2 linked regions of the Caenorhabditis elegans genome follow. The protein of the gene in region 1 interacts with the protein of each later gene in a pairwise test. Each region holds a gene or a part of one and is shown on either strand. Other genes may lie near its edges. The genes, in order: act-5 and erm-1.

Region 1 (3,988 bases):
CGAAGTGACCCAAAACTACCAAATTTCGTAATGAGAAGTTTTGAAAATTTCACAAAAACAATTCGTTGATGCAAGTACATTTTCGGTCAGTGGGGCACAAAAATGTAACTTTTCTTTGAAAACTAAAAACGTTTAAGAAATGAAAAGTGTTACCAGTTGACAACTTTTGTTATTTTTAACTAGTGTAGAGTTACTGTAGTTTGAATAGTGCTACCTGGAACAAAACATTGAACTCCGATACCTCGTCCGACAAGTGATACATATTAGAATATTGCCAAAACAGTTTTTAGATTATCTTTTTTTTGTTCAACTGACAGTTATTTCTTGGTAATGAAGATTTTTCAGTAATTTAGATTATCATGTAATGATGTTATAATGTAGTTAGAAGATTTATAGTAAATGCACAAACATATAGTTTAACCACCTATAAGCCTCTACAGCCGAAAAGTTAAAATATACTATCCAACACATGAATCTACATAAATTTTGTTATTTAGTTTACAACTTTTTTCTTTTCCTTTTTGTTGCCATGTTACATACATTCCCAGGAAGCTGCCGGCTGCTATTTTCACGTTTTTCAGATTGTCGATATCTCAATTATTCCATTTCTAATTGCTTTTTTCAAAATAATAATTAAACTATTAATTTCTTCCACACTTCGACCGATTTCTCATCTTTCCTCTTTGTTATCAGTGATAAGCAGAATAGGGTAGTAGTAACTTTTACGGGTATTTTGGGATTATACGGAAAGGGTAATGTAATGAAACTTTGAATCTTCGGCACTTTCAAGATTAGCTGCACCCTAACATTAAAAAAATATAGTTTATGATCCTAAATTTCTATTGTATTTCTAACTAGCATTGACTCATTACTTATCAGTGACTCATTTTCCCAGTATGGCTTCTTTAAGAGGAATGGTAGGCGGAAACTTCAATTTTAGGGAGTATTTAAAAGTTGGAGTCAATTGGAATGTTATCACTTTATTTTTTCTAGTTTTACATTCCTAGCGCTCCAGTGACTGGCGGTAGTTGATTTTTATCTCTTGGGGGTTTTTTATCTTAGGAGGTCATGTAAAGTTGTCAACTGACAATGTATAACATTTTTTTGAAATGCTTTGTTAGTGGACCAGCCGGCTTGAGCTACTGGAAAGTTCGGGGAGCCCGGATGTAAGCCTGTTGGCCTGCATTTTCAAAAATTTCGTAGGTTTATTCCATATTTGTTATACTGATTTGAGCAATTTTATAAAATCGGCCATAGCTAACAGCCTCCCAGTGCATATCATGTCAATTGACAATTTCATGTTCTAGAATTGAGCACAAATTCTGACAGGCTGCTTACATCATGCTCACCAAACTATGACTTTGTCTGTGTGACGTGATAATTTGTGTGTGTGTGTGTGTGTGAGTGTGTACATATAACCACCACGTACCTGCAATTCTTAGAACGAAGTGAGAGAGGGAGTTATCAGTATCAAACGCACACACATATATACATACAGAATGTGGCATATTCTCTCCATTCTCTCTTTTTCTCGTTTTCCCCCCGATGGTGAGCTGGCTGCGGTACTGATAACACACTTTGCATTTTTGGGGAAATGTGGCAACATTTTCATTTTTCGGCATTTTATAGTACTCGTACATCACTTAATAACGTTTTCTATAAACTCGACTTCTTCAACCTTTTATTAATTTCAGATGGAAGAAGAAATCGCCGCCCTCGTTGTCGACAATGGATCCGGAATGTGCAAGGCCGGATTCGCCGGAGACGATGCTCCACGCGCCGTCTTCCCGTCCATCGTCGGACGCCCACGTCATCAGGGAGTGATGGTCGGTATGGGACAGAAGGACTCGTATGTCGGAGATGAAGCACAATCCAAGAGAGGAATCCTCACCTTGAAGTACCCAATCGAGCACGGAATCGTCACCAACTGGGATGATATGGAGAAAATCTGGCATCACACATTCTACAACGAGCTTCGTATCGCCCCAGAGGAACACCCAGTTCTCCTTACCGAGGCTCCATTGAACCCAAAGAGCAACAGAGAAAAGATGACACAGATCATGTTTGAGACCTTCAACACTCCAGCCATGTACGTCAACATTCAGGCTGTGCTTTCCTTGTACGCTTCCGGAAGAACCACCGGAATCGTTTTGGACACCGGAGATGGTGTCACTCACACCGTTCCAATCTATGAAGTAGGTAGATGGGTTTAGAGAATATAAGAAGACAGCAATCTTCTTTGACTTGGCGGTGTAAAGTTTTGGAGATTACGTCTGCTTCGACTAATTTTTGCAGCCAGAAACAGGCTCACAGCGCTTTCGGAAACTTTTAGTTCAGCTCAGCAGCTCTTATCCTTAGTTTTAAGTTTTTGGAACTGTAAGAACTTAGTAAGAGCAAGGCCACCTCATTTCTCTGCAAATCATAGCCTGAGCTTCTGATCTTCTTATCTGATCCACAATCTTCTTGTGAGAATTCTTTGGGATCTAAGAAATCTAGAACCTACATCCGATCTTATCTTCTAATCTTCCAGGGATATGCCCTCCCACATGCCATCCAACGTCTCGATCTTGCCGGACGCGACTTGACCGACTACATGATGAAGATCCTCACCGAGCGCGGTTACACTTTTACCACCACCGCCGAACGCGAAATCGTCCGGGACATCAAAGAGAAGCTTTGCTACGTCGCCCACGACTTCGAGTCCGAGCTCGCCGCCGCCGCCTCCTCCTCCTCCCTCGAGAAGAGCTACGAGCTTCCCGACGGACAGGTTATCACCATCGGAAACGAGAGATTCCGCTGCCCAGAAGTCCTCTTCCAGCCTGCCTTCATCGGAATGGAAGGTGCCGGAATCCACGAGACCACCTACCAATCCATCATGAAGTGCGATGTCGACATCAGAAAGGATCTCTACGCCAACACTGTTCTCTCCGGAGGTACCTCCATGTTCCCAGGAATCGCTGATCGTATGCAAAAGGAGATTCAACATTTGGCTCCAAGGTAAGCTTCACATTTCTCAGTACATGAGATTATAATTCTTGTATTTTCAGCACAATGAAGATCAAGATTATTGCTCCACCAGAGCGCAAGTACTCCGTCTGGATCGGAGGATCTATTCTTGCTTCCCTCTCAACCTTCCAGCAAATGTGGATCTCCAAGCAGGAGTACGACGAGTCCGGCCCATCGATTGTTCACCGAAAGTGCTTCTAAGCTGATTTTTTTTCAAATTTTTTTTTTCAACATGTGCCTTCCATTTCTAGGCGAAACACGATTTTACTTGACACAAATTCCATGAGATACTTCATTTTCTTTATATTTATGGTTTCTTAACATGAATAAACTTGTTAGGACCACTTGCTACTTGGGAATTGAGTAAAATTGATGGTACTTGTGTATTATTTCCCCTCATTTTTTAAAATATAATTTTAAATAAAAACGTGTGGAGTTTTTGTTTTTTAGGCTTAGGAAATAATCATTTCTAAGCCTAAAGATGGAAAATGGACATCACGTTTTATTAAAATGGATAATATTAAAATGAGGGGAAATAATGCACAAGTACCAAATTGATTTTACTTAGAAATTAAGAAAAAAAAACAAACAAATAAGTTAACCTAAACCGGATCTGCCGTTCGGCAACTCCGGTACCATCCGGTTCCCGTTTTTTTCGGTGATACAGAGCTTTCTTGATACTTTTTTGACAACTTCCATAATTTTTATCTTGTTGCAATAACTGGGAAAAAGAAATTTTAAAAAGTGAACTGAAAAATGACTCTTGAGAAAAAATGATCGTACGGTCTTATAGTTTTACTGTAAAACATTTTTGATAGTTTGCAACATCCATTTTGATTTCTTATGGAAAATCGGTTCTTTTTGCTATAGAGAGCATGCAATTCTTCAAATAAAGTTGTCTCTAACTACAAGAAACCACCTTTCTGAAAAATGAGTCAAAAATGAGTAGATACATGCAATATCGGCGGGAATTATAAATATC
Region 2 (7,885 bases), on another chromosome or scaffold:
CAATTTAGCTAAAACATTTAAGAAAGCTTTTAAAAATGGCCTGAAAATTGCCAGTATCCGATTATCGAATTATCAGATTTTTTGTCTAACAATTTGCAACTTTCCCACCGATTTTGAGCATTTCTTCAAATGTTTCAGCTAAAAATATGTTTCATTTCCAGATAAATCGAGTGATTTTCGATATTTTGACACTAATTTTTAGTGAAAAACGTTGGAACAACATAGCCCAATAATTTTGTAGAATTGCCGGAAATAATAGCCCTGTACCTGTAAATCAAAATCAATATTCCCACCTGTGACACATATTTTTCTGAATAATTTTTTGATTCATGAAACTTTTTCTTTAAAATAATTAAAGCATTAAAAAAAACTCAAACTCGCCAAAACTCCCAAGAAACTGTCCAGGCACCCGAGAATCGCGCCAACGCCCTGCTGGCGCGATTCTCGTGCAGTGGCAAATCGCAGAACGCGCCAAAAACGGATCCGAACGGGTTTGAATCAGACGATGACTCATTTTTTATTGTTTTTCGAGTTTTATTGATTTTTTTTAATCGCCAAATGTATAAATCCCCCTAAAATATACACAATTTTCCATGTGTCACTTTGAATTTTCGGATAAATGATTGAAAAATTAGATTTCTCTATTCAAAATTTAAAATTCATAACCTTGAACTCATTTGTTTCGTTTTCTTCGCTCCGTTTTCTGATTTCTCATGAATTTTTGAAATCTCTGTTCATTCGAATTCTATTTTCACATCTTATTTTACTTTCTTGCAGAAAAAAGTGACGAAGATTTTCGGTGGAAAAGTTTCGTGAATTCTCACCGCTCACCCCAATCCATCTTCGACTCGGACATCAAAAAGAGCTAAAATAATGTCGAAAAAAGCGGTAAGTTTGAAAAATGTAGCTTCAAATAATTTAAAACTTTTACGGCCAAATAAAAAAAAACACTGTTTAAATTTGCGATTTTCTTATTTCTTTCGGAAAAAATGCCGCCATTAATTAAAAACAAATGGAAAAAATTTGAAACTGTGAAATGTTGAATATTTCGGAAATTATGTTCTGTTCAGCACGACTTCTGCCGATTTTTTTAAAAAATAAGAATCTATCGATCTAAAAATATACTCTGTATTTTATTTTTCACTTATAAGACTATAAAGAGGCATATTTCTGCAAAATGGACTCATTTTTGAGGTTTTGTTGAAATTTTCGAAAATAGAGGGTTTCAATACCATTTTGCATAAATGCGCCTCTTTTTAAACATATAAGTGGGAAATAAAATACAAAACATATATTTTTTACAAAATTAATTTAAAAAATTTTAGAAAACAATTCAGATTTTTACGCTTACGAAGTAGAGCCGCGAACAATTTTGAACTCGAAATAAACTCAAAATTGATGATATTTGAAATATCATTTCATTCTTTTTTTTTCTGCCGAAACTTCTATGAAGAAATGCGCACATGTATGTGTGCAAACCGACAAATAGGCGGAGCCTGTACAAAAACGGGCGGTCTATAGTTCTTCTCACTCCGTTTTTGTGCTGTATACAGGGAGAGAGAGTGACAACTCATATCATTTAGTTTTAGATAAGAATTTTAAATTCTCAAGTTTCACTCTTTTTTTTATTTTGAATTTCTGATTTTCATGCAAGATTTCTTATATCATTTTACTGAAAAATTTTAAGCTAACCTCTTCATATCAATTGGTCCAGCAGTTCAAACTTGTGGAACACAAAATAGAAAAATGGTTGCGGCCGGCGATGTAAATTGTTAATTGAAAAAATTTTTTTTAGAAATTTAAGAAAAAATATAACGAAAAATCGATTTTATTTTTGCCTAATCCAACTATTTCTTGTTTCAGATCAATGTGCGTGTCACCTCGATGGACTCGGAGCTCGAGTTCGCTATTCAGTCGAGCACCACAGGAAAGCAACTTTTTGATCAGGTTAGATGATTTTGTTTTATTATATTTAAAAAGTACTTTTTTTATTAAATTGGAGAATGGATAAATTTTAATAATTCAAAAAAAAAATCAGAATTTTCTGAAACATTAAATTTTCACTAACCATTAGAAATTTTAAATCAAAACGATTTAAATTTGAAAAAAATAATCCAAAATTTCCAGCTCTTGAAATTGAGTTTCGAATTTTCCAGCAATATTAATTCCTTCATTTTAATTTTTGCAGGTTGTCAAAACCATTGGTCTCCGCGAGATCTGGTATTTTGGACTTCAGTACACTGACAACAAGGGATTCCCAACATGGCTGAAATTGAACAAGAAAGTCTTGTCTCAGGACGTTAAGAAGGACCCGACTCTTGTTTTCAAATTCCGCGCCAAATTCTATCCGGAAGATGTGGCCGAGGAGATTATCCAGGATGTCACTATGGTATGTTTGACACCTTTTTTTAAATATTTAATTTTTTGGAAAAAAAAAACTGTAAATTTTCCATTACCTCTGGCCAATATTTGATTTTTAGTTGTAATTCTCACTTTTCGCTTTTCTGACATTCTCTGGCGACTCTCTTGATTTCCTGTGCTATTTCTGATTTGTAACTGATAAGTAGAGAATGCCCGTGCCATTTATGCATGTAATGCAATGTTGGCAAGCAATAGGAAATAACTTTGGAGTATATTCAAGAATAGAAAAAAAGGGGAAAATTTTGGTAAGGAATACATTTCTGTGGTTTTAGAGTACCTTCTTACAAGCTGGCCTGCTTAAAAAGACCCCAAAACGACCAAATTTCAAAATGAAATTTCTCAAAAAATGCCCGAAAATGAATTAAAGCAGTGAAAATTCTGAAAAAAATCCGATATTTTTTCTGTTAAAAAAATCCGATATTTTTGCTAAAATTAGAATAAAGTTTTTTATGCCAGTGATAATTCAATAAAATGGCATTCCGATTTAGGAAAATTTGGCTCTTTTTTGAGAATTTTGGCTCGCTATAAAGAATTTTTGAATTTTTTAAACCAGTTTTATTTGAGCAAAAAAAACTCTTCTGCTCAAAAATTTCCACGGCTCATGTGCTCACAAGGTCCTCAATAAACTGCCTAAAAACAAAATATTTTGATGGTGACAAGTGTAAACATGGGCATTTTCTCCCTTCCGTTTCAAAAAAAGGTTCTCCCATTGAGAGTGTGGTTTCCGATTACCTCCGAGCCACTTTTTTGTCTCACACAAAAAGAGATTGTTTAATGGTTTGTAAACATCGATGGGAAGACACTGTGTGTGCGAGACTCTTTTTTTGAGAGGAGAAATGAGCATCCTATTAGAACCTCCGACTGCGAACAGGAAATCTCTGATCTGGGTGGTCTGTTTTGTTTGAATAGGATCACAAGATCAGTTGAAGATTTCAGTAGAATAGCTATTTAGTACCTATATGCAAATTGATTTAGTACCTATATGCAAATTTAGATCAGTTGTTAAAATTAATGTAAAAATTTCTTTTTTTTTTAAATATAGAAAAATACTTTTATTTCTATGAAAATAACATTTTTCAGTTGAAACATTTGAGAAAATGCACAAAAATGGTCTGAAAGTTTCTAATTCACAAAAAAACCTTTTTTGAGCACTTTCTCAAATGATTCAAAAATATAAATATCACTTCCGGTTAAGTAAATTGATTTTTTCTCTTTTTTTTAGATTTCCAATAATATTTCGCATTTGAATTTGAATAGATAGACTGACTTAAATTCTGTTCCGATGACTCATATCAATGGAAACAATGAAAAAACTCTCAGTTTGTTGCTGTCTCTTTGCTCTTTTTATATTCATGTTCATAACTGACATAAAGAGGAAGAGGAGAATGGCATGTGTGAATAATCAAAAAATGATTCAAAACGATAAATATGAGGGGAAGAGAATATAAATTGAACTTTTTGCAAAATTTGCAGAATTTTTTGTTTGGAAGAGGGAACAATTGGGTTTCAGAATCATTAGTTGAAAATGGAGTATGGTTTTTTAAAATGTCAGAAAACAATCTCAATGTACAGAACATACAGTTAAAAAATTATGAAGTTTTTTAACTGAAATTAAGCCTTAATTAAATGAAAATATTTTCAGCGTTTGTTCTATCTCCAAGTGAAAGATGGAATTCTGTCAGATGAGATTTATTGTCCACCGGAAACCTCTGTTCTTCTTGCCTCTTACGCGATGCAAGCTAAATATGGAGACTATGTTCCAGAGACACATGTCGCCGGATGTCTTACTGCTGATCGGTGAGTTTTTCTTGAAATTAGCTTTTAAAAAAATTATTAATAACTATTAAAAAATATCTTTGCGGTTCAAAATTCCAATCAAGATTACTAAAATAAGAAAAATAATAATTTTCTGCGATAATTCATTTTTAATTATGTAGTGAAATTTCACAGTATCACAGTACTCATACAATTCATAATTATCACATGAAAATGAGATTAGAATAAAGAAGGGAAAGTTCCAGATCTAGATGATCAATAAAAAAGTATATAATAAGAAGTAGTTAAAAAAAAGTAAACTTTTTATATTAAATGCCAAAAATAATTAATTATTTCATTCCAGTCTGCTTCCTCAACGCGTTCTCGGACAATTCAAATTGAACAGTGAGGAATGGGAACGCCGTATTATGACATGGTGGGCAGATCATCGTGCAACTACACGTGAACAAGCTATGCTTGAATATTTGAAAATTGCACAAGATCTCGAGATGTATGGAGTCAATGTACTGTTTCTCATTTTTCTGTCGAGTTTTAAAAAAAGCTAATTTCAGTACTTTGAAATCCGCAACAAAAAGGGAACTGATCTCTATCTTGGTGTCGATGCTCTTGGATTGAATATTTACGATAAAGCTGATCGTCTTTCGCCGAAAGTCGGATTCCCATGGTCGGAGATTCGTAATATATCATTCAACGACAAGAAATTTGTCATCAAACCAATTGATAAGAAGGCTCATGTAAGTGATTACTGTCACACACAGTTTGTCGTGGCATCAAGCTTCTATTTGTTGGCAAAATTTCTGCGGAAAAAACGGAAAAATTGTGTGATAGTAGTTGGAAGTGGTGGTGATAAGAAGCAATCGATGGAACATTGAATTTTGATTTAAAATTTTTTTGTTGGTTTTTCTTATTTTTGGGGTGTGAAAATATCACAATCATTGACCAGATGCGGAATGTTGCGATTTTGAGGCAAAAGTATGGTGCCCGGTCTCGGTCTCGACACGACCGAATAAATTTATTTACCAAAATGGTGTGCACCTTTAAAAAGTAGAGTAGCTCCAGGCCTTTCTGATTTCCAACTTCGTTAGATTTTTCTAGTTTATTAATTAATAAAAATTAGTTTCACTAACAAAAGTAAAATAAAAGGTTTTTACAATAAAAATATTTAGAAAAAATCTATGAAAATTTCAAATCAGCTCAACGGTAACTACTGTACTTTTTAAATGCGCACATCCTTTTTCATTTAAATTTATTCGATCGCCTCGATATCGAGTAATGTGTTTTTGTATCAAAAATCGCAAATTTCGAGATGGATGGAACATTTTGTGGAAATTGAGTTTGTTGTAATTTTTCTGAACATTTTTTCCCCGATTTTTTGATTTTAGAAAAATCGAAAAAAAATTCTTATTTTCGCTGAAAAAAAAATCGAAAAAATGTTTTTCATTATTCGTCTTCATTTTTATCATTAATTTTCAGGACTTTGTCTTCTACGCTCCACGACTCCGTATCAACAAACGTATTCTTGCTTTGTGTATGGGAAATCACGAGCTTTACATGCGTAGAAGAAAGCCAGATACCATTGAAGTTCAACAAATGAAGCAACAAGCCAGAGAGGATCGTGCTCTTAAGATTGCCGAGCAGGAGAAGCTCACCAGAGTAAGTTGCGGAAATTTTTGAAACATGTTTTTACAAATAATTTCTAAAAAAACTTTCACTCAAATCTGTTTTGATCGTACAGGAGATGTCTGCTCGCGAAGAAGCCGAACAGCGTCAACGTGACGCCGAAAAGCGTATGGCTCAAATGCAGGAAGATATGGAGAGAGCTCGTCTTGAATTGGCTGAAGCACACAATACAATTCACTCATTGGAGGCTCAACTCAAGCAATTGCAATTGGCTAAACAAGCATTGGAACAGAAGGAATACGAACTTCGTGAGCTCACTGCTCAACTTCAATCCGAAAAAGCAATGAGTGATGGTGAGAGACGTCATTTGAGAGACCAAGTTGATGCTCGTGAACGTGAAGTTTTTTCGATGAGAGAAGAAGTCGAGAGACAGACTACTGTTACAAGACAACTTCAGACACAGGTATTTTTTATTTTTGAAACTAAAATAGAAACAAAAAATTCTCTTTAAAAAAATTATTTTAAATACCGTATTAACAATTATCGAGCAGTAATTTTCAGTCTGAAATTACTGTTTTAAAATTTTAAAATGAAAAAAAGTATGCAGTAATTCCTGAAATTAGTTGATTACTGTAACAAAAAAGCTTAATTTAAAAAAAAAATTTGCAACAATAAAAGAGATACAAAAAGAAAAAACTAAAAAAAATTGTGAAAGAATAAAAAATCCGATCTTTAAAAGCGAGATTTTTTAATTGTACGCAGTGATGTTGCAACAAAAATTTCGGCCAAAAAACAAACAAATTTTGTTTAAAATTTCTCCAAAAAACCAACAAAAAAAAACAAAAATGTTCATTTTTCGTCATACCAACTAAAACATAAAATTTTTGATAAACATTTTTTTAAATGTTTTCTTGTCCGAAAAAACCAAAAAAAACGGAATCCCTGATTGTAACTCTGGATTTATTTTATTTCAAAATTATTTTTTCTTAAATTCAGATTCACTCGCAACAACACACTCAACACTACTCAAACAGTCATCACGTTTCCAATGGACACGCTCACGATGAGACTGCCACTGATGATGAAGATAATGGAGCAACTGGTATGCCTTTTTTATTTATTTAAAATAATTGGGAGAGATTATGAGAAAAAATATCATCTTCAAATTTTATCTTCCAGAACTCACAAATGACGCTGATCAGAATGTGCCACAACACGAGTTGGAGCGTGTCACAGCAGCCGAGAAGAACATTCAGATCAAGAATAAGCTGGATATGTTGACTCGCGAGCTTGACAGTGTTAAAGATCAGAACGCTGTCACTGACTACGACGTTCTGCATATGGAGGTTCGTATTTTAAAAAAACTCGTTTTAATGGATGGTTTTAGAGAATTTAGCATTCAAAATTTACAGTAATTTTCTAGAACCTGCATTTTTTTCATAAATTCAAGTTTTAAAAAATATTTCCGGACTGCGATCAAAATACAATTTTTTAAAAATTAAATTTGGAAAAAAACAGAAGAACGCAAAAATCTTTAAAAAATATCGAGTTCCGGATTATTTTAAAATAAAAAAAATCATTAAAAATCATTAAAAAGCCATTAAAAACAAATTTTGCTTAAAAATAATTTTATGATATTAAAATTGTTTGAAGTACAGAAATTGAGTTTTTTCGGTGTTTTCTGTTTGCAGACAAACCGAAAACATTTCTGAAAACATTCCAAACTCGGTATTTCCTTTACGGAAACAAGCAACATAAATTTTACTTATTTTTGAACAAGTTTGACCCTAAATTTTTTAGATTTTTTGAGCGAAACCGAAATATCGAAAAACCGAAAAACCTGCCGGCCCGATTCCAAATTTTTAAATTTTCAGAACAAAAAGGCCGGACGCGACAAGTACAAGACTCTCCGTCAAATCCGTGGAGGAAACACAAAACGAAGAATCGATCAATACGAAAATATGTAATTATTTGTTCTATCGTATTTCCTTTTATTTTTTTAAACAATATTCTCAATTGTCTCCCACCAACTTCCAAATGCTCATCATCTTGGCTCTTTTCTCCCTTT

Evidence for each region.
Region 2: the proteins of act-5 (region 1) and erm-1 interact in a two-hybrid assay, tested with the Caenorhabditis elegans proteins (one study listed by BioGRID).

Annotation. Positions count from the first base shown.
Region 1 is NC_003281.10:13,603,773-13,607,760, reverse strand, and holds act-5 (Actin), read left to right. Parts: upstream 1-1,694; coding exon 1,695-2,195; intron 2,196-2,530; coding exon 2,531-2,997; intron 2,998-3,047; coding exon 3,048-3,207; 3' UTR 3,208-3,349; downstream 3,350-3,988.
Region 2 is NC_003279.8:5,284,497-5,292,381, reverse strand, and holds the start of erm-1 (Moesin/ezrin/radixin homolog 1), read left to right. Parts: upstream 1-1,687; 5' UTR 1,688-1,746; coding exon 1,747-1,764; intron 1,765-1,863; coding exon 1,864-1,947; intron 1,948-2,188; coding exon 2,189-2,389; intron 2,390-4,063; coding exon 4,064-4,218; intron 4,219-4,540; coding exon 4,541-4,700; intron 4,701-4,748; coding exon 4,749-4,931; intron 4,932-5,670; coding exon 5,671-5,850; intron 5,851-5,932; coding exon 5,933-6,280; intron 6,281-6,813; coding exon 6,814-6,919; intron 6,920-6,996; coding exon 6,997-7,163; intron 7,164-7,691; coding exon 7,692-7,784; 3' UTR 7,785-7,885.